Drosophila melanogaster: one gene and its partners. The gene in region 4 interacts genetically with the main gene of each other region. Each region holds a gene or a part of one and is shown on either strand. Other genes may lie near its edges. The genes, in order: Cad99C, ck, Sans and Ubr3.

Region 1 (5,266 bases), on a different chromosome or scaffold from region 4:
ACTTAACTTTTCTTCAAAGAAGTTAAGCCAGGAGCCAATAAAATCTAGTCTGCAACTGTCTGTTGGTAATATGGCTGAAATAAAGCATTTTCGAAACGATATTTGCTATGCACCACAATTTATTTTGCCTATGCTGCACCTGTCGTTTGTGCAATCGAAAATTCTCAGGAAGGCAAAAATGATTTTAAACTGGCTCAACCAGCAATTCGAGCTTTTGCGCATGGTCAATGCGAAACCTTACAGTTTTGGCTGACACATTTCGCTTGATACCTTCATATCCGGTACTCATGGAGCATATCAGCATATAGCTTGCTACTACCAAAAACATTTTGCAGAATCACAAGCAAATCTGTCTTGGCTACAACTCCAGTAGCAGCGTGTAACTTTGGGTCACTGAACTACACTTTTGTTAAATGTCAGCATAAATGGCTAAAATGAAATACACCTTACAAGCTCCTCCTAACCAACTTGTTCATAATCCAAAAACTTCCTGTTAGAGTAGCGAATTCAAACAGTTGGCACTTTGTTTTTTCGAACTTGACATATGTAAGCCGATCGGCAAATTATCGCGAAAATGGGCCATTCGAATCGTAAAAGTGATGACCAAGCCGGAAGAGCACAGACATTATGGTAATCCAAGAACCCCCAATAAATGTAGCAAGAAACTGCCTCTTTATAATAACGAAAGAAGCTAAGCCTTAATTAAATCCCAACCCAGTGGGATGCGGATTTGGCCAGGTGAGGAGCTAACAGCCAACTGGCTTGTTAGCAAACAGTAAAACGAGCTAATGACGTACATCTGCTGAAAACCCTTGCACTTTCTCCTCCAGCCAGTTGTGATGAAGATGGCAGACTCCCATGCGTTTAGCACCATGAAGATACTCCGCTAATAGCCATTTAGCACATGGCTTAATCTTACCGTACAGTTTGTGTGCCATATGAATATGCTATGTTTGCTATAATTAGGTGCTTTGACATTTCGAGAAACAAGATCTGCGCAAATTATCATATTTGGCTGATCCCATCGATCTGAGCAGCTTTCAATGCCAATATAACGATATTGGCTCAATTGTTCTGGCAGCATCCGGCTGGAAATGGAAATGGTGGTATTCGATGGTGGTGTTCGATGGAAACACCTACCCATGATGGCAATGCCAATTTCGCGGATTGCCAGCCAGCCGGGTGCAACTGTCTCATTGTCCCAGTACAATGGCAACGGAATATGCATATGCGACGACTCCCTGCCCGCCTGACAGGTACAAAAATGCTGTCTGCCCCTTTGGTGAACTTCATTCATGCCCCGGATCGCAGCTCGGATTGCATTGCATTGCAGTGGATTGCAGTGGATTGCAGTGGAGTGGAGTGAGCGGCCAAAATCGCGGCAACATCGACTAAAACATTTTAATAAAAACTTACACAGCAACGGCTGCAGTGCAGCTGAAACAGAAAAGCAAACACAAAGCGAGCGACAAGCCGAGCCGAAGCCCCAAAACTGGTTCCTGGCCTGGCTGGCTAACTCTAAGCCCGATCCACGGCTCCAACTCCTATGAAAATGCAACATGGTGGTCTCTTACATATTTACCTTTGACTTAACAGACGCTGTTAGCCGCTCGAGATTCTCTGTCCGCGCAGCATACACATATACATATGTACATAGCTGTGTATGTACATGCACCTGCAGATCGTGGATCGCAGTACCTGTGCTCCACAGCCGAAGCCTTTCGCATGTGTGTGTGTGTGTGTGTGTGTGTGTTTGAGTATGGTGTGGTATCCATCAGCTGGCAAACGAGTAACCCCCGAAAAACCAGTTTTACCGCAAAGCGAGCGAATGCCAGCTCAATTCCAATACGTTCCACCTTGGATCGGGTAGCGCCCACTTGTTGCCGCTGCTGCGCGAGACAGGTAAAGCGAAACAGTACCGATCCAACCGCCGAGCCGACACCACGTACCACGTACTTTCGCGCAGTGTAGCACGACGAGTATGAGCTTGTGCCCCAACGCAGCGCTATTGCTATAAGGTGGCTGGCGCGATACCGGTTTTCGAGCTGGTATGAATATGCCCAAGAGCTAATTTTTTAAGAGTTATCTCTCAAGAAAATGTGTAAAGTTCAGAATGGTCCGTTTGTGGCGACGTGTGATGTGTGGATGTGTGAGGTGTGTCCGGTGGATCCAAGGCAACCTAAAGCTGTAGCCATAGAAGCCTGAAAAGGGCATACCACGCAGATATCTCGAAATAGCGCTCCGTTTAAATAACAAAGAAGCCCCGAGAGGCAAACAAAGCCTTCACGCCATCATTAAATCTAAAAATCATACCTTTGTACACACCACTTTAACCCCCGAGAGCAAGACTTTCTCTTGCCAATTTTTCAGTTTTTTTGTTTACCCAACACAACTCACAGTGGAGTGAAAACAGAAAACAAACGAAACCATCATCGTTTTGCCGAATATCAAAGGATAGAACACTAATGTGGAATGTGAACGTGATCGCCGTATTAAGCAAATCGCATTTATCGACCGGGATTTCTGCGGCATTTGCCAAGAACCAAGAAACAAGCAATAAAACAGCCAAAAAAAACAAAAAAAAAACGGCAAATGAGGTCACGTATGTCGAGATTTGTGTAAGAAACTTACACAGTCGTGTTCACTGTACAGGCATACGTAGATAGTCATCGACTTGCCATGCTACTTTTACTACATGCTACCAAACTCCCACGCGCCGCTTTGTTCGCCAGCTTTTCGCGAAACATTATGGCTTATAATTAATCCAAGAGGGCAACCTCCAAACAGTAATTAAAATTCACTTCAGTGCGGCAAAACTCACTTCCAAGCCGGTGATCCGGTGATCATCAACTTCGAAATGATCAACTTCGGATTCAATATGAATTTTATGACAGAGAAATACATAAAATAAGTATTACAACACCTTCAAATTTGTGTCGCGAGTGTTTTTAATCGAGTTTAACCCTGTTTTTTAATGCGCAGATACAACATCTATTGAATAATATAGTAAATCGAAATGTAATTGAGGACCAAGAATAACCTTTGTTAACGGCGTGTGACTCCATTTTTCACGTTGGATACTCAGCTGAAATACTTTGAGCTGCTTTAATATTTAATCTTTAGACCAAACGGTAAGTGCGGAGTATTATTAGTATTATTATTATTAAATTATTCAGCATCCAAAGGCGGGGAGAAGCAAAATGATGAAATAATGTTCTTTTCTCCGGGCGGCGGAGATTAATCTTCATTTGGCTAAATGGCTAGAAGCCATTTATAAAGCAGAAAACATAATCACCTAACCGTTTTTTCTTCAGCGGAAAGTCAGGTCGATTAATTTTATTGTCACCCAAGAATTTGCAGTTCAATGTCTTTGGCCATCATCTAAATTCAAAGATTTGTTTTTAATTATTCTAAACTCAACTTATTTTGGCCAATTAAGACAATCATAATGGTAGAATGTTTATGTTACTCAGCAGTTGCTTAAGTTTCGTTAGACGTGTTCTCGATAAAAAGGCGAATCATTAAAATTAATCATCAGGAAAAATGATTCTCAGCAAATTGGCTCTAAGATACTTGTCGAGTTCATTAGAACGATTAGAATGTTAAAGCACTTTGAGTCATTAAACTCGACAAATGGCCATTTTGAAGACGATCATATATTTACTCCCACAGGAGTCATAAATATATGGACAGCCAAAATGAATGGCATAGATTGAGATACTTTATATGCTGATAGAATTCGATATATATTATGAAACATCTCACGGATCCGTGAGGAGAAATACTTTGTATGGCCAAGAGCGCGTCCTCTGTCCAATAAAATTAAAATACAATAAAACACTCAGCGAATTAGCATAACAATCGCAGTTGGAGCTGACAGAACGATGGTGTATACATGAATGTATGTATCCAGGTGATCCAAGTGATCCGAGTGATCATCCAGGGGAGCCGAGTGGCCAGGTGGACCAGGGTATGCCGCCATTCGGTGCCCAAATGCTGGCGTTCCTTTCTTGTTTATTTAAGATTTGTGTGGCAACCATCGTTCGCATTCCAGCAGATTTGAGATTTAAGTTCGCTACGTATTGTACCACATTCAAAACTAGAAAATGTTGGCAAAAACAGCATCAATAAGCAACAGGTTTGCCGCATATCGAATCTGCACCCAGCAGCACACAACACACACAACACACACAACACACACAACACACACAGTACACAGGCATTCAAAGCGATACCTCGGCTTTCGTTTATTTTGCAAACCAGTTTGGCACATTCGGCTTTTTCTATAAGTTTCCGGTTGAACATAATCAGCAACTGACTTTCTGTGGTGGCCACCGCCGAACTCCTCCTCTGGCTGCTCCTGCTCCTCCTGCTCCTTCTCCGATCTCCTCCAGCTTCGCGCCTTTGTTTATGCGGGGGAAATGGAAAATGGCATTTTGTGTACCGTCCAGTGAAAGCGGAGGACTTGCAGCGCTTTTCGCGATTTTCCCGATTTTCTCGATTTCCTCGCAAATGGAAGCAGGAACGGCACGACGGAGCATTTAAGCCCCCATATCAATACCATGTGATATCTCGCACTTAAGTTACGCAATGGGCGATCGGGGCTTTTATGATTTCGGAGATAATTTCAGCAGCAGTTGCGTTTGCAGACAAGTTTGATTCCACTCGCGATTGCAGCACACTTTGGCGAAATTAAATAAATCGTTGGGAAATCATGGGTATTTTGATTGGTTTATTTGGCTAATTGCGTAAATCGAATTGCAATTGGCCATCGAAGACAATAGTTGTCAGTGGCGGCTAAGGATAAGAGATCCATCAGCTTGGATTTTAATTGTCAGCCAATAGTTGAAATTCAATAATTCGCTTTGTTCATTAGAGCGCGCACTTTATTCCCCTATTTTATGAGTTTCGGTTAACCAGCACAACGGAACCCGGCTGCTCTGGACAGTGCTATCTATATCCAATGGATGCGATCGAGGAGGGAGCGCGAAAACCAGAAGATTAACTCCGATCCGTTTCATTAAACAAACGATCCGAGTAACGGATACGATGCAAGTGGCTCCTGGTGCCAACGAGTCTTCAATGGAGATCGCAGATGGAGCAGAAAGTCAGAAAGCTAGAAAGCCAACGGATGTGCAGAAACCTAAGCCGCAGCATGGGATGGCCAACTCCCAGCACCCAGCTCCCAACTCCCAAGCTCTTGGTTCTAACTGTATGCCAGCCGTAGCCGCAAAAGTTGATCGGCCAGTTGGCGAGCTGGCCATTT
Region 2 (5,089 bases), on a different chromosome or scaffold from region 4:
GCAGCTGGCCAAAATGACGCCGGAGGAGATGGCCAGCGATGAGATGAAGAAGCTGCGCGAGAAGTTCGTCAAGGAGGCCATCAACGATGCCCAGCTGGCCACCGTGCAGGGCACCAAGACCGATCTCCTCAAGTGCGCCAAGTGCAAGAAGCGCAACTGCACCTACAACCAGCTGCAGACTCGTTCCGCCGATGAACCTATGACCACCTTCGTCATGTGCAACGAGTGCGGCAACCGATGGAAGTTCTGCTAACTCCCAAAATTGTTCCAAAATATAAATCAATCCCAAATGAGCACACACCACACATCCTTCATATTCTTAAATGAAACATTGTAAAGACACGACACGCGAGAAAACATTTTGTATCTGCTGCCCAACTGCGGAGGCGTTTACTCTGACCACCTAAACCTTAAACGAGAGAAAAGAAATTTCAATAAACATTAACTATTGATAAAACGGAGACGTCTTGTTGCCGCAATCAGTTTTTTAAAAACGCCGGTGATAACGACCACGCTGCTGATAACTCGCCGATAACACAGCGGGGCGATAAATTGAGCATTGAGCAAAGTAAATATGAATACATTATAAATATAACTCAGAATGATCTAGCAGAGAAGTAAATAAGACGCCATATTGTGTATGTATTCTCGAAGAGTATTAACAACCGATGTAATTAGTCAGTTTTAAAGCAATTTGCATTAACGAACTTTGTATTGCATTAAGTATAGAAGTCGGAACGGGCCAGATCGGACAACTATATCATATAGCGGGCATAGGAATAATTAAAACATTAACGCAAAATAAATATGTGTTCGTTGTGTTAGATCCATTAGGTGTTCTAATGTTTTGTTCATCTTAGTCAACGTCAATTTCAAAGTGGATGTTTATGATGGAAATCCAGTTCACGACACCATCATCCATTTCGAGGGTTAACTTATAGCTACCCTTTGGTAATGGGACCTTGGCAAACATACGATCATCCAAGGTGCAGTTCCTTATGTAAATATCATCCTTAAAATATATATTTTAATATGATTTAATATGATTGTCATATTGGCGAAACTAAATACTTACATTATAGGGACATGTATGATTAATATTGGAAAAGGGCATAAAGGCGGTGTAGAAATAGTAGAAGACTCTGAGACGATTTGGATACCTTAGGACGCGACAGTGTTCCTCGGAAACATTAAATAGAAACGGATGGTATCCGTTTAGCTTCCGGTAAGTGATGAATCTCACGACCATCCTATTTATTGGCAGTTTCAGAAGCTTAACGTGTATGTTGGCTCCGATAATTCCCCTGCCAAGCACTTTTAGTCGGCATTCGGGAAAGACGACGAATGATTTGTCATAGCTTTCGCACTTGAGGTTCGTGAGGCGCACGTATCCATGGGATTCTCCAATGAAAAGTAAGCTGATCCACAAGAGGTACTTCATCAGGGCAAATAGTCTGGATGTAATGACCACTCTACGCGATGGTGGAGTACTGGTTTCCAAAAATATAATTACTGATGGGGCATAATTAGATTTTAATTACTACTTATCGCAGTTCGTATAAATAATTAGGTAATCAACAAACCGCTTCAATGAGCTAATATGACGACATGTTTAATATATTGACATAGAAAAAAGATATTTCTTGAAAAATGCAATAGCTTATGACAGATATTTTGAAATGCGCGCCGAAATTAGGCAGGTCGATAAATTTGGGTAAGTAATGCTTATTTTTATCGATGCTATCGGAAGTCTATCGATCGGACTGCTTACGCGGCAATGTGACCATATAAGCGGTTTTCAAATGAACTGTAATGTTAACTCGTTAGCATACCACGATTAGTAATCCGCGCATTTTTTAGGCCATTCGCAACTGGCCCCACCACCTGGTCACTCTTATTGATCAGTTTATCGGTTGTTATTTTTCGCTTCAAGTCTTGTCTTCTCGGCGAAAAGAAAAACAATAAACAAATCGCACAGCCCCAAAATGATCAGTGGTCTGTAATCCACCTGTTGCTCGGCTTAACTGTGCTGGAAAAGCGGACTTTCGGCGCGCTGCTCTATTCCTGCGACTGCTGGTGCGTGACCTATTTATGTAACCTGTTTTTGAAAAAGAACATCCCGCTTTCGACGGGTCTGGAAAAGTGTTAATTAAACGGTCGTGGCGAGAGCGATTCCAATTAGAATTCGAATTCGGTGACCGAAAAGCGGAGAGTGCAAAATTCTGAGGCGGCAATTAAGGTAGAGAGTGATTGGAAAAAAGAAAAGAAATGAAACGAAACTAAAAGAAAAGAGTGCATTAACCCTGCCAAGCGGTCTGTGTAAATGTGTGTCTGTTTGTGGCTAGAAAAGCCAGTGGGGAAAATGACAAGGGTCACAGCATCGGTTCAGTGTAACATCATCGATTTTATTGCATTTCCAGACGGAGACGTGGCTGCATTGCATTTTTATTGCTTTAGGCGAGTGACCAAATTAAATAGCTACGCTTCAGGTTTCGTTGGCTAGAACGGTACTAACATGCACACTACAAGCGCAGCCCCGCTCTCTCGCACGCACACACGGACAGGTACACCTGCCGAGGAGCTGCAGAGCGAGCGAGAGGGAGAGATGCGTAAAGAGCGGCTCACAGTGCAACACATTCAAGGGTGCTGCTACCGTCTCCCCCTCTGCCACGTACCTTTCCCACCCGCTCTCGACAGTGCGCTCTCTCCCTCTCATTCTCCTTGAGCTTGAACCAGGCTTCCACACTGAGAAATAAACGATGTCAATTTAAAATGATTTGAATAGTCTTTTATGGAATTACGTGCGTAAACCTTAAAACAGTGACTAAGTGTGTTTTATTAATCAGTTGAAAACGTTTTTTTTTATAATCTATCATTATGATTATGAAAAATATACATATATGAAATACTTTTACTGTGTAAATCTAATCTAATCAGAGTGTACTATCATTAATTGTTTATAAATTTCAAACATTCAAGTTAAATATTTGTATATCCCATTTACATAAATTTGCATAAATACAAATCGATCATGAAGCGTCTGCTTTTTCTTGCAGTTCAGCGGTCAAGAGTTCTGAAATTGACAATAACAACAAAAACGCAGGCACACTTGTTTGTCCGGTTTGTTGTTTTTGCTGTTGCACAACGGGACATTTCGTGTGTGGACAATTGGAAAACCCTTTTTCAAATAAACGCTTTTCATTAGCCGGTTTTTGTTTCTTCTCTCCCATCTCAACCTTTTTTTTGCGTTTCCATTTGGGTTGTTGGGCTGTTTTTGTTTTTGTTGTTGCTGGGGGCTTTCGCGCACGCAGCGACTTTCTGTTTGTTTGGTGAAACTTTTTTAAGGTCTTCTCTAAATACATAATAAAAAAAAAATGAACATAATACTTTGCCCATTTTTTATTTTTGTTGTTGTCGCTGGTGAGTCGTTAAATTTTGTAGAAGATTTCAGTTGTTAAACCAGAAGCAAATTGTGTGAACAACAAACGAAGTTTTGCGAAAAAGAATTTTGTTAGCAATGCTAGTAATTATGGAAAAAGTTAAAAAAAAATTCTACAACTAACGGTGTTTTTTAAATTTAAATCATTTACAAGTTCACATTAATAACAAACACTTTATAATTTAAATTTGAAAAGGTCTAAAGGCAACATATAATCAATATTTTTGTAAAATAAGTAATATTATAAATGTTCAAATGAATTGAAAAAGTGCATTTGCTCTTAAATTTAAGAATCGTTCGCATTCCATAGACTTTACTACGGATTTATTATTAGCCATATTATCTTGAGAGCTATAATTCAAGTGACCAATAAAACAATATGGGTTTAACTAAAGTGCTCCAATTAACGTATAAGTAAAGTGAAACCTTATAGGATTATTATTGCATTTTTTGTAAAATAAGACGAATATGAATTTTTCAGATAGGAAATGTTTTTATGCCACAAATTGCTCAAAGATGACAACAACATGATGTCAAGTGTCAAAGTCAAAGTGAACAAAAAGTGGTTGTATTAAACAATTGGTATGAACGCCATACATACTTTTATATGTACATATGTTTATAGATAATATATGGCCGAGTGTCTGTATGTAGTGTAGAGTAGATGGCATAAACCGTAATTGTACGTGGCTGCCACACACGAACTTTCACTAATGACTCTCGATGAACTTTTGGATCACTCACTAAAAACGCACTCTCTTACTTATAGACATATATACATGCAGTACATATACATACATATGGTTACCATATATATGCACTTAGATACGTGCCAATCGTTCGTCACTGAGTCCACTATCACTACCATTCGATGCTAAATCTGCAGAGCCGGAAATTCTTAGACGCTCTTTGCTCGATTCTATAAGTTTTTTAATCGTTTTTGGTCATGCCCAGAGATACAAATGTCTGCCTCACACCTCGATTTACACCTTGTTTGATGTTTCGCTTCTTATCGCTACTTGCACTGCAGGGAAATTCTGATAACAGCAGGTACGGCAATTAGGCAATCGTTTTTAAATAATTCAGTCATGACTGTGCTTAGTCTAAGTGCTCTCTTCAATTTGAAAACAGTTGTGGATTGAGTACCAAAAAAAGATTAAAATACGAATATAGATACGTTTACCTAAAAAGCAATCCTTAAGATACAAATAGAGTTCCCAATAAATGAAACCTTTTCCGCGTTCTACAGTTAAGTACTTGCGGAAAGAGGGGATTTAGATGACAATGAGGGCATTAAACTATTAAATTGGGTGCTGATAACAGGACAACGAGTATTGAGCAATATTACTTAATACATGTATGTATGTCTTAGTTAAATGTTTGAACTCCAGCCGACAATTGAGGTCGCTATATGGTTGTGGTTCGAGTGTGGATCGCGGATAGATGGGTTCCCTATGTGCACTAGACTCGTATTTTGACCGGCAGAGCGTAACCAGACTGGTATGTGTACGAGTATACGTGCCGCCGTGTGCCACTAAATTTGGTTGCTCCGTAGCTGTTGCTGCTTTATTTTTTTTTTTGTCTGGCATGTTGCAATTACCGTGGAGAGGAGAGACGCCTCCCAATGAGTAACTACACTACGGCTGATAC
Region 3 (5,981 bases), on a different chromosome or scaffold from region 4:
TGGTGGGTCCATCTGGTTCCGGCAAGTCCACCTGCGTGCAACTGCTGCTTCGCTACTACGATCCCGTATCGGGATCCGTGAATCTGAGCGGAGTGCCGAGCACGGAATTCCCGTTGGACACACTGCGCTCCAAGCTGGGCCTGGTCTCGCAGGAACCCGTGCTCTTCGATCGCACCATTGCCGAGAACATAGCTTATGGCAACAATTTCCGTGACGATGTGTCCATGCAGGAGATTATTGAGGCGGCCAAGAAGTCGAATATCCACAACTTTATAAGTGCTTTGCCCCAAGGCTACGACACCCGACTGGGCAAGACATCGCAGCTCTCTGGAGGTCAGAAGCAGCGCATCGCCATCGCTCGAGCCCTGGTTAGAAACCCGAAGATACTCATCCTGGACGAGGCCACCTCTGCGCTGGACTTGGAGAGCGAGAAGGTGGTGCAACAGGCGCTGGATGAGGCGAGATCAGGCCGCACATGCCTGACGATTGCGCATCGTCTGACCACCGTGCGGAATGCGGATCTCATCTGTGTGCTAAAACGCGGCGTGGTAGTGGAGCACGGCACCCACGATGAGTTGATGGCACTGAACAAAATCTACGCCAATCTCTATCTGATGCAACAGGTGTCGGGCTAACACAGCGAACTGGAGTGATAATTGTTAGGCTTTAATTTAGTATGTACACTAGGCTAATTGAACATGTTGAAGTATTACAAAAAAAATAGAATGATTAGGCCAACTACTACAGTCGACTGTCTACCAGGGGTCCGGGATTGGCCAGGGCGTTACGTCTCTCCTGAATGGCGAAGGTGAGTTTACGGAATGGCCCCAGTGGCAAGCCAAGTGACTTAAGGTCCGATTCTGTGAGCAGCATCAGAGTCTCCAAGTCGATCTCTTGCTTCTGAAATCTGAAATGGTAAAGGAGGATACGAGTTGAATACACATACATTCCAGACAAATTTGGTTTTGTTACTCACACTGGCAGGTATTCTTCCAGGGCCCAAACGGCCAGGAATCGCTGCAAGGCACTTCCTCCGGCATCTCGGTCGTCGTCGTCATCATCGCTATAGATGTCATGACCGCCGCCCTCCGAGTCCGTATCATCCGAAAGGTTCAAATATAAACGACCCTTTCCTCCGCCATTTCGTGTCTTTGGAGGATTGCTGCCCGCATTCCGCATCGTGGAAGTGGAACTGGTGTCCGTGTGCAGTTGAAGCTGACTTAAAGCAGCAGTTACGGATCGACGAAAGGCAATGCTGCCCAGCATGGTGGGTCTATCGAAGAGTCCAACGGGTCTCTGGAGGGTCACTTCCTCGCTTAGTTCCTGGGTCAACTGACCATCCCCCAGAATATCCGGTTGGGAGAAGGAACGCGCTAAAGTAGAGCTATAGCCACTGCGGTTATCGCTGTGGTCCAACTCATCGGCCTCCATGCACTCAAAAACATCGCTGATCTTGCCGCGCTTGCCGACACTGTCCTCGTTGGAACTAAAGGTGCCCACATACAGCACCTCGGAGTCTCTCTGCAGACCCGTAAGCGATGTAATGGTTCGCTTTCCATCTGGCTCCACCTCGCGCACCTTGAAGCCACCGTCTGTGTCGCTGGATATCTTCGAGTGTGGACATGTGCTGCTGTGCTGCTTTTGGAGCTGCGACGGTCTCTTTTGCACCGTTCCCGCTCGACTGGCTATTGTGGAGCCACCGCTGCTGCTGCTACCGTTCCCAACCAGATCGCTGAACTTTGTGGGAGGCGGTGTATCCCTTGGTGTCTTATTTAGATTGCCCTGGCTGGACCAGATCTTCTGCTTCAGAGTGGACAGCATGTTGCCGGTCTTGCTGGAGCCACTGGGTGCGCTTAGATCCGAATACTCCGGATCCTGGCGCTGTTGCTGCTGATTCTGGCGCTTCATGTACTCCCTAACACGTTTCTCGCAGTTTTTCTCGGCCAATTCTTTCAGGGCCTTGCTTTTTTTTCTGTTAGTTGAAGTATTAGTTTTAATATATACAAAAAATAAATTATGCAAACAAAAATGCAAGCAAGTGGCAGATATTTCATAAACTTACTTTTCAGTGGCCTCAAAGTTTGTGAAGGCAACATCCAAGTAGCGCAGGATCTCGTCCCTGCCATTAATAGCCGCCAGATCCTTGGCGCTGTGCTTATCGATATCCAAGGCATAGATGTTTACTCCGAATTTCACCAAGAAGTCGACGCAATGCAAATGACCCTTGGCGGAGGCCAAGTGCAAGGCTGTGTTTCCGAACTGATCGCATTTGTCAGGGTCACCACTGAAGGGAGAGGAAAGGATTATCTTCAGTGGATATAGAATTATCATTTAAACGAATGCGTACCCCCTTCCGCACAGCAGACGCAGTGCATCCAGACGCCCCTCGAAGGCAGCCCACATGACCGGCGTCATGGAATCACTGTCCTTGGCATTCGTATCCTTCCGTGTGGCTGCTGCCAACACATCCAACAGCCCATCTTTGGCGGCTCTAAACGGAAACGATTGTACCAGAAAGTTAATGAGTCTCTTGTGCATCACCATTGGTGATAAGATAGAGTCAAATTAATTGCATGTACCCACTTGTGAAACCGATCCGATGACATATTCGTCTGTGTTATCTTTCAATCAGGTTGGCGATGGAAATTCTTGAATCGATCTGAAAGGAATCCAAGGCGAGATGAGTAGGCTGTTCATTATACTTGCCATTCCTTTCCATCACACATCTCAAGATTCTCAAAATTAGGTCACACACATAAGCGCCAACAATTCTTTACAATTAAAAAGCATGTCTATAGAAAAAATCTCCTCCGAGCTGCGTAAGATGATAATATCTGACAATCCAATCGAAGCAACAACTTTCGATAAATCTGCAATAGAGGCAACTTTGGATTCCAACAAATTCGAAGATCTACGAATTCCGAAGCATACACTGAAGCAAAAGTTTCTTCTTCGAAAGTCAATAATTGAACATCCCTTTAAAAGAATTCGTGCCGAAGGAGTGGATTGGGCTCACAAAATTCGAGACACCGACGAAGAGAAGGAATCTAATTGGGCAAAGATTGCGACTGGAAAGGTTTCTGGCAATGCCTACGATCTTAAAACCATGATGAGCGAGTGTGAAAATATTTGTGGTTACGGAAACGCCATAAACTTGACGGTCCCAAGGGTGGACAAACTACAGGATCTGGCTAAATCGATCCCAACGGATCCCGATACAGTCTACCTGACCTGTCAATGTGATGATATTTTCTCTAATGGAGGCACAGAAGCTCCGACTCAAAGCCCCGACGAAGTTAATTTCGAAGAGCTGTCCAGCTACTTCGAAAATATGCTCAACATACCCAAGAATCTTCCGCTCAGCGCTGAAATAATGTATACTTAATGATTGGAACGGTGTGTGTATTGTTATATTTAGAGTAAAAAAAGATATAAATCATTTTAGTTTACGGTTTTCTCATTTTAGATGTGGTGATGTTAGGTTTGGATCCCTATATATGCATATACATATGTACAATGTATGTATCAGATCGACTGATTTCCGTTTTGGTGTTACTGGTACCAAATGTAGACGGGGTTTTCGTACTTCTTGTCTTACTCCACTTTTTAATGTGCTTATTGTGTGGGGCTGGCCAATTAAAATAAGCCCGAAGATGAGCCAAATTCCTAAGCCTAAGCATATTGCCCTTTTTCCCAGCACTTGTACTAACGTTCACACGTTTCGAATTAATAATCCAAAAAAGAAAAAGAAAAGTGTAGCCGCCGCGAAGAATCACAGGCCCACGACACACGCACACAAGAAAACATTACCCATTTACTGCGCACGACGGAGTTTGGCTTACATACCAACGACCAACTACCAAGTTCACTCAACCTTGTTGGCTGGTTTTCGAATTGCCCAAAACAACCGAAAATCGAGACAGTCAACCATTTACTTATTTACCACGGGTACACACACTCACTTATTACCAGTTAGTTGTCCCGGTTCAAGACGACTTTTCAAATGCAGGATTTCAAATTGGATTTTCCCACTCCGGGCAGCTTGACACTTTTCTTTTTAGCCAAACGAACCGAAAGTTTTCATCTGCGATCGGTAGAATATGCACGTTCCGAAAGCCGTTACCCGGAAGCACTTTCTACCGCTCCGACTGCATGTTGTTGAATGAAATTGTTAGCTTTGCTCAAACTCGGCGCTCACATTACGCACAGTGGTCGAGAAAATGATAGATGCTGCTTAGACGGCAACTAAATATTTTAATGGGAAAAATTATGTATGCTAATGTTTTGTTTTAAATTTCTTAACCAATAAAGTAATATAAAGAATATAAATTAATAAAAACATTGTATTGAACGTATTGGTTCAATAATCGTATTTGAATATAGAATAATTTGTACGAAAATATTTAAGGTGTGAACTACTGTGCGGAATCAACTTGTATGTCCTACTGTGACTCTCTTCGACGATAGGGTGTTGCCAGACTGAAGTTGCTACGACTATCGCATCAACTAACGTAGAGCACTGCAGCCCTGGTTGACTAGTGCCGCCCTGGTCCGATTGCCAGAAAAAAACAAGACAAGTGAAAAAGCGAGATAAATCAAATTAAAAATATTGTAAAAAATTGTAGTTAAACACGCGCTGGAGCACGGTGAACTGAAAATGTGAATGAAAACCATCAATAGAGAGAGACGAGCGCGATTTGGTGGCACCAAATGCTGCAGTTGCAACCTGCACATGTATGTGTATACGCGTGAGTGTGCGTTTGCGTAGGAGGCACCAAAATAACAACAGCAATCGCAGTGACAACAAAGAATCGGAATCGGAATCGTACTTGTTTGTACTCGCACAGGACGTACTTGGAATCGGAATCGGAATAGCCACTACCATATGCCAGAGGAGGGAATCGCAGTGCCAATGCATAGTTAATAAATTTCCCAGAAGCTATACGACCAGCAGACCTCAATTGCAATTGCACGCCCCTTGACAAATCACAGTGTCTCAGCCAAAACGAAACTGGAAGCCATCGAGTGCTCCCGTTAAGCAAGCAACTGCAGGCGGAGCACGGGGGAGGAGTAGGACCTGGTGGTGCACCAAGCACGCCCGCACTATGGGCAATTGCCTGAAATGCTTCCAGTCTGCCGCCGAACAATCGATGCCAACGAACGCCTCGTCCCCCAATTCACACAATTCCAATTCCAACGCCTGCCAGACGGCCACCAGCCTTGCAAATTGCTACGAATCGGTGGGCATTAATCCCAATGCCAACGAGCGCTGCGCCTTAGGTGGGTATTCTATAGTTAATAACCGCATTGTGATCCAAAGTCTAAGAAACCTCTCTTATTCCGGCTTATGCACTCTAGAAACCGATGAACTGCTCTCTAGCCGAACTCCACTCAAGCCAGCAAAAGCAAACAATTGTGATACTAAGCGTAATAGTTTTAAGTCTTTAGGTTTGCTTAATGGCAGTGCGCCCACCATGAGCGATATCATAACAACTGGTGAGTCAGCGTTCATTCGACTGCCTTGGCGGCATACTCATTCGATTTTCTATATTCTAATAGCTGTCCAGGAATCGATGGAGGTATCGCACCAAACGCTGAGCAAACTATTCGATGTGTACAAAGATCCCGACGACGAGGAGATGATACTCACGGACGGCATCGAGCGACTATGCAATGACCTCAACTATCAGCCCGATGAGTTCGCAATTCTCGTCTTGGCCTGGTGCCTGGATGCCTCGCAGATGTGCCGCTTCACCAAGGTGGAGTTCATTGAGGGTCTGCATAAGATGAGGGCGGACACAATAGACAGTATCCGGGTGCGGCTGGAGCAGACAATCGAGATGCTCAAGGCGGACGCCGAGATGTTCAAGCAGTTATACCGCTTTACATTCCGGTATGCCGTTCTTACTGCTTGGAAGATCAGTACCTAATTAGCGTCTCAAATTTCAGATTTGGTCTGGAGCCCGATCAGCGCGTCCTCT
Region 4 (5,061 bases):
ATCGCTCGTGTCACCGGAGGCATGAAGGTGAAGGCCGATCGTGATGAGGCTTCGCCCTACGCCGCTATGTTGGCCGCTCAGGTGAGTTGTGCGCTCTCCGGTCCAGTTGGAGCCCGTCTAACGGTTTCAATTCCCTCCAGGATGTGGCTGAGAAGTGCAAGACACTGGGCATTACTGCCCTGCATATTAAGCTGCGTGCCACCGGCGGCAACAAGACCAAGACCCCCGGACCCGGCGCCCAGTCCGCTCTGCGTGCTTTGGCCCGTTCGTCCATGAAGATTGGCCGCATCGAGGATGTGACGCCCATCCCATCGGACTCCACCCGCAGGAAGGGCGGTCGCCGTGGTCGTCGTCTGTAGATGGCAGTATCTGGAAAGCAGTAGTCTATGTTTGCGGTCGAAATACAATACTGCATTTGTGTATGCGATAAGAAAGCTTTTCTGTTCGTGTGCATAGGTGCACTGTAATAAACCAGGAAAATACGATGTAAATGACTACAAGACATTTTTGTGTGTGCATTGGGTTCGGTTTGGGGTCTGCAAGTGCTGCAATATTTGATTTATAAGGACATTGGCGAAATGTTTACAAAAATTGCACATTACAAGCCGAAGAGTTGCCACCCTGGCGTGCCCAACGCGGTGGTAGCCCGATTGCGCCATCAAAGTAACTATGCGTCGATAACTATCGCATTACCAGCTGTGTTGTTTTTGCCTTCTTTTTTTCGCATCCGGCGCACGCAATTGGTTGGTTTTCTGCTATTTCTCCCTTTTTTTGTTCAATTTTACTGCAATTGACTTATTTGGCGGCAAAAGCGAAAAGTTGCTGCTAAATATGATTCAGTGATTTAGCATAAAATGAAAAATTTTGCGGACGCCGTGAAAGTGGTGGCGAATTAATTTGTTTCTCCCCCATTTTTTTTTGTGTTGTTTTTTTTTTTGTAGTGATTTGAGCCGGCAAATAAACATGGTGTTTTTTTCTCTTTTAGTTGCTGATCGACGACCAGACTCTGCAGAATGGCTCCAAGAAAGGCTAAAGTTCAGAAGGAGGAGGTTCAGGTCCAGCTGGGACCCCAAGTTCGCGACGGCGAGATCGTGTTCGGAGTGGCTCACATCTACGCCAGCTTCAACGACACCTTCGTCCATGTCACGGATCTGTCCGGCCGTGAGACCATCGCTCGTGTCACCGGAGGCATGAAGGTGAAGGCCGATCGTGATGAGGCTTCGCCCTACGCCGCTATGTTGGCCGCTCAGGTGAGTTGTGCGCTCTCCGGTCCAGTTGGAGCCCGTCTAACGGTTTCAATTCCCTCCAGGATGTGGCTGAGAAGTGCAAGACACTGGGCATCACTGCCCTGCATATTAAGCTGCGTGCCACCGGCGGCAACAAGACCAAGACCCCCGGACCCGGCGCCCAGTCCGCTCTGCGTGCGTTGGCCCGTTCGTCCATGAAGATTGGCCGCATCGAGGATGTGACCCCTATCCCATCGGACTCTACCCGCAGGAAGGGCGGTCGCCGAGGTCGTCGTCTGTAGAAATGGATCGTGCCACCCGCTTTTGACGCTGCTTTATATTCTTATACTATTAAATACATGCATAAATGCAGTGGCAAGGGCATGTTTTTTGGGCTCATGTGTTTCATTGTGGCCAGTGGCAACGCGTCGTTAGGTGGTGCTATCGATAGGTGATGGTTGGGACCACCAATGGTATGTGCAGGTGTAGAGCGGTCACACTGGATGAAATTCAAGACCTATCGATATCCTGATATACACGCCAACGAAGACCGTGTGTGGATTCGTGGAGCAAATCGAAGTTGGCAGGATTAAAGGCATTCGCGAACGCAGAGGCAGCAGCTAAAGGGCCACCCATGCACCAAAGAAACAAACTAGCTGGCCCAGCGGTTCATTTATCTGCGACTAACAAGCTAAAATCGGCGTAATTGGCAAGTTCAATGCACGACTAATATATTTGGCCACACTTGCCAGTGTATGTTTGTTCGTGTGCGTGCCTGTTTGTGTGGTGTCGTCTCCGTACGTGTTTGTGTGTGTGTCCGCGACGAGTATGTGTGCGCACATATTCGTATATCTGCAAGACTCGCGGATGAAACAGCGTGAAAAGTGAGCAAAATATCGGGGAAAAACGGCACGGTACGGCCACAGAACGGAACGGTACGGTGCGATACGATATCGAGAAAAGGCCATCAGCCAGAGTACTCCTCGATCCGGAAACGGATAATGGGGATATAGATGATACAGCCAATAGCTCCCCGAAAGCCACAGCACACAATAGGTCGGTCGGTCGGTCGGTTGGTTGGGCGACGTCGCCGAGAGTTAAACATCAAAAATCAAACCCAGGAACCGACGGAGCTAAGTGTCAAGTGTTTGGTGTTGTGAAATTTTTCGTTTCCAGCTCTCCGTTCAGCGTTCAGCCAATTTGCCAACCTTTTCCCCTCTTTAATTTGTTATCCCCGGACACCACAAGAGTTTCGATCAAAATTTTCAATTGAACGCAACATCGCCATAAACAAAAACATAAAGGTAAAATTCGGCCACTACCCAAACAACAAAAAAATAAAATCATAAGAAAAAATCACGCAGTAACGTAGAAGAAGCAGCAGCCGAAGCCGAAAAAAGACGAAAAGAAAACTTGTTTGAAAAGGCCGAACCGAAAGAAGAAAAAGAGCAGCAGCAGCAGCACAGCGGCCAAGTTTGGAAGAATTTCAGAATTTCAGCGTGCTAGGAACGGAGCAGCGGACCGGCGACGTCACCAAATAAACGCCCATCACCATGGACGAGGATGACAACCTGTCCAATGCCGACATAAGCATAGATGACGAGGAGGTGGTGCGGGAGCAGACCCACCATCCGCCCATGCAAGAGGATCAGGAGCTGGATAACGAAGATGGGTCATCCGACGTGGATCTGTCTTCGGTGTACGTCGTGCCACCCATAGTCTCGGCACCATCGCCCGCATCAGTGCGCATCGCTGGTGGATCCACAATTGGTGGCGGAGGGGTCGCAGCTGGAGCAGTTCCAACAACCACCGATAACTCGCATTCCCCCTTCCACGATTGGGATTCCAGTGTGGCGGCCGCTGCTGCTCCACCGCCGCCACCGCCCAGGACAGGACCAACTACAACTACAAGCTCCGGCACAGCCGCGGAATCGGGAGCCGCGTCCGCCTTATCCGACGATGCCGGCGCCAAGCCAAGTTTCTTCTTTGGCGCCTCCTCGTTCAGTTTGCGCAGCCGCAAGGAGGTGGCCGCCCTGATCAACACGGAATGCTGCCGTGGCAGCCCCACACCCGATCTCGACTCCATAATGGATACCCTATTCAATCCGGGGACGCCCATCGACAATCTGGACAACATCGAGTGGATACGATGGCTCATTGCCGGCGGACGGACGCCGCAGGAGTTTGTTAAAATTGGTACGTCCCAATGTGTGCATATCGATAAGTGTGTTGCATTTTCTATCGCCAAACAGCTGATCGCAAGTCCGTTGCCCCTGAAACTCTGACCGAGCATGTGTGTGTTACCTGCGTTATGTGTGTGTGTGTCTGTGAAATGTAATGGTTGTAGGGCACGCAAAGAAAAGGTAGAGAGGAAGAGAGCATAAAAGCAAGGTGCAAGGCAGCGTGAAGAGTGCGAGTGCACCACCATGGCAACAGCAATCAAGCGCACTCTCTCGCACACACAGCACACTCACTACACACACATATGCACTGATTAGGGGAGTCAACTTTAGCCCAATTTAATCTCAACTGCTCATCTATTTGCAATGCTGTATTTGTGCATAATTTTCATCACTACTTATTACTTTTTGTGCCAGGCTGCGTATGTCGCCAAAGTTGCTTTTATCGTTTATGGTTGTTTGTCGCGTCTAGTCTTGTCTTGTCTTGTCCCACTTGTCAGCTCTGTCACACGCACACATACACACACTCGTGCAAACTGGCGGGCGGAGACGTACACGCACAGTGGAATGCAGCTTGCACCTTGTGGCTTTGTATCAGCTGTTTCGGTACGCCTTGCGTAATAAATGTTTCCGCAGCATCCGTCCCAAAACCACACGAACACGAATGTAGATGGTGCTTGATTATATGATGGCACCTTTTGTCACCGCTAGGTGCTCCTTTTTTTTTTTTGTGTTATATTTCTTTCACCTTTTTGTTTGTTACTCGTTGCAAGAACAATTGCAAAATTGCACTGGTGCGGAAAAAGTTGATTGACCGTCATTGTTGTTGATTTGACAAAAACACGCACAGTGGTCGCGAGGGGCGGATGTGATGTGGCCCACTGTAAGCTGTCAACGGCAATTGACCGAAAGACCGTTATGTTATTGGGTGGTGTGTATGTGTGTGCGTGCGTGCGTGTATGGGTGAGGGTGAGAGAGTGCACCTTTTTTCCGTTCCCATGTCATGTCACCTCCCCTTCCCTTCGCCACACCCTTGCTCCTCCATTCGGACCTTGTCCAAAAGTTCTCAGTTAGAAAGAGACTGCTGAGCCAAGATAGTGAGAGCGAGAGAGAGTTGCTAACTTTCCGTTGATCGATCGCTATTACAATTTTACAACATTGTCAATCAACTTTCCGCTGCACTGTGGTTGTTATTGGCCAATCCATTCGATTTCCTTCCGCATGCGGCGGCCGACAACGTTGACCTTTTTAGTCAACAAGGTCCGAGCGGAATACGTACATACATATGAACATACATATGTGTATAAACTACGAAACATAAAACAATCGTATGTACATAAATACATGTACATACGCCCCAGAACGCAGGCCGAAGACAAAAAATCAAAGAGTCACGCAACTAAAAGCAAGAAATTAACTAAGCAATGAGTGCATCATTTTATTTTTGGAACTCAAATCAAATCAATAGCAATAGCAAGGCAATGCGGTCGGTCAGAAAAAATCAGCTAGCCTCGACTGGTTTTACAATTTCACCTCATCGCTCAAATTTGCAAGCGATATTTAATCGTTTTGTGATTAGAGGCGGGAACAATGCTTTGCAATCGACCGATTATTTCGATGATTTTGCATATGAATTCGTTGAGTTCAATTGGTTA

The links.
Region 1: of Ubr3 (region 4) and Cad99C, changing one enhances a phenotype caused by changing the other (phenotypic enhancement), as found in Drosophila melanogaster (one study listed by BioGRID).
Region 2: of Ubr3 (region 4) and ck, changing one enhances a phenotype caused by changing the other (phenotypic enhancement), as found in Drosophila melanogaster (one study listed by BioGRID).
Region 3: of Ubr3 (region 4) and Sans, changing one enhances a phenotype caused by changing the other (phenotypic enhancement), as found in Drosophila melanogaster (one study listed by BioGRID).

The regions. Positions count from the first base shown.
Region 1 is NT_033777.3:29,839,743-29,845,008, forward strand, and holds the start of Cad99C (cadherin 99C), read left to right. Parts: upstream 1-1,914; 5' UTR 1,915-2,048; intron 2,049-2,982; exon of another isoform or gene 2,983-3,131; intron 3,132-5,266. UniProt on the Drosophila melanogaster protein: Cadherin that functions in epithelial morphogenesis and the intestine epithelial immune response. Essential for female fertility. Regulates the length and organization of apical microvilli in developing follicle cells and salivary glands.
Region 2 is NT_033779.5:15,054,655-15,059,743, reverse strand, and holds the start of ck (crinkled), read left to right. Parts: upstream 1-1,881; 5' UTR 1,882-2,076; exon of another isoform or gene 2,077-2,239; intron 2,240-5,089. Other genes in the region: TfIIS (RNA polymerase II elongation factor), read left to right, coding at 1-253; CG33679 (uncharacterized protein), read right to left, coding at 857-1,012, 1,076-1,441. UniProt on the Drosophila melanogaster protein: Myosins are actin-based motor molecules with ATPase activity. Unconventional myosins serve in intracellular movements: can function in cells as a single-molecule cargo transporter.
Region 3 is NT_033778.4:12,935,078-12,941,058, reverse strand, and holds Sans (scaffold protein containing ankyrin repeats and SAM domain), read right to left. Parts: upstream 4,169-5,981; 5' UTR 3,970-4,168; exon of another isoform or gene 3,963-3,969; intron 3,444-3,962; exon of another isoform or gene 3,386-3,443; coding exon of another isoform or gene 2,789-3,385; exon of another isoform or gene 2,716-2,788; intron 2,660-2,715; 5' UTR 2,607-2,659; coding exon 2,584-2,606; intron 2,492-2,583; coding exon 2,348-2,491; intron 2,285-2,347; coding exon 2,063-2,284; intron 1,973-2,062; coding exon 977-1,972; intron 908-976; coding exon 742-907; 3' UTR 647-741; downstream 1-646. Other genes in the region: Mdr49 (multi drug resistance 49), read left to right, coding at 1-635; CG30487 (uncharacterized protein), read left to right, coding at 2,789-3,385; SCCRO3 (squamous cell carcinoma-related oncogene 3), read left to right, coding at 5,106-5,280, 5,359-5,496, 5,560-5,893, 5,950-5,981.
Region 4 is NC_004354.4:7,934,190-7,939,250, forward strand, and holds the start of Ubr3 (Ubr3 ubiquitin ligase), read left to right. Parts: upstream 1-1,706; 5' UTR 1,707-2,779; coding exon 2,780-3,422; intron 3,423-5,061. Other genes in the region: RpS14a (ribosomal protein S14a), read left to right, coding at 1-81, 141-359; RpS14b (ribosomal protein S14b), read left to right, coding at 1,014-1,250, 1,310-1,528. UniProt on the Drosophila melanogaster protein: E3 ubiquitin-protein ligase which is a component of the N-end rule pathway. Recognizes and binds to proteins bearing specific N-terminal residues, leading to their ubiquitination and subsequent degradation.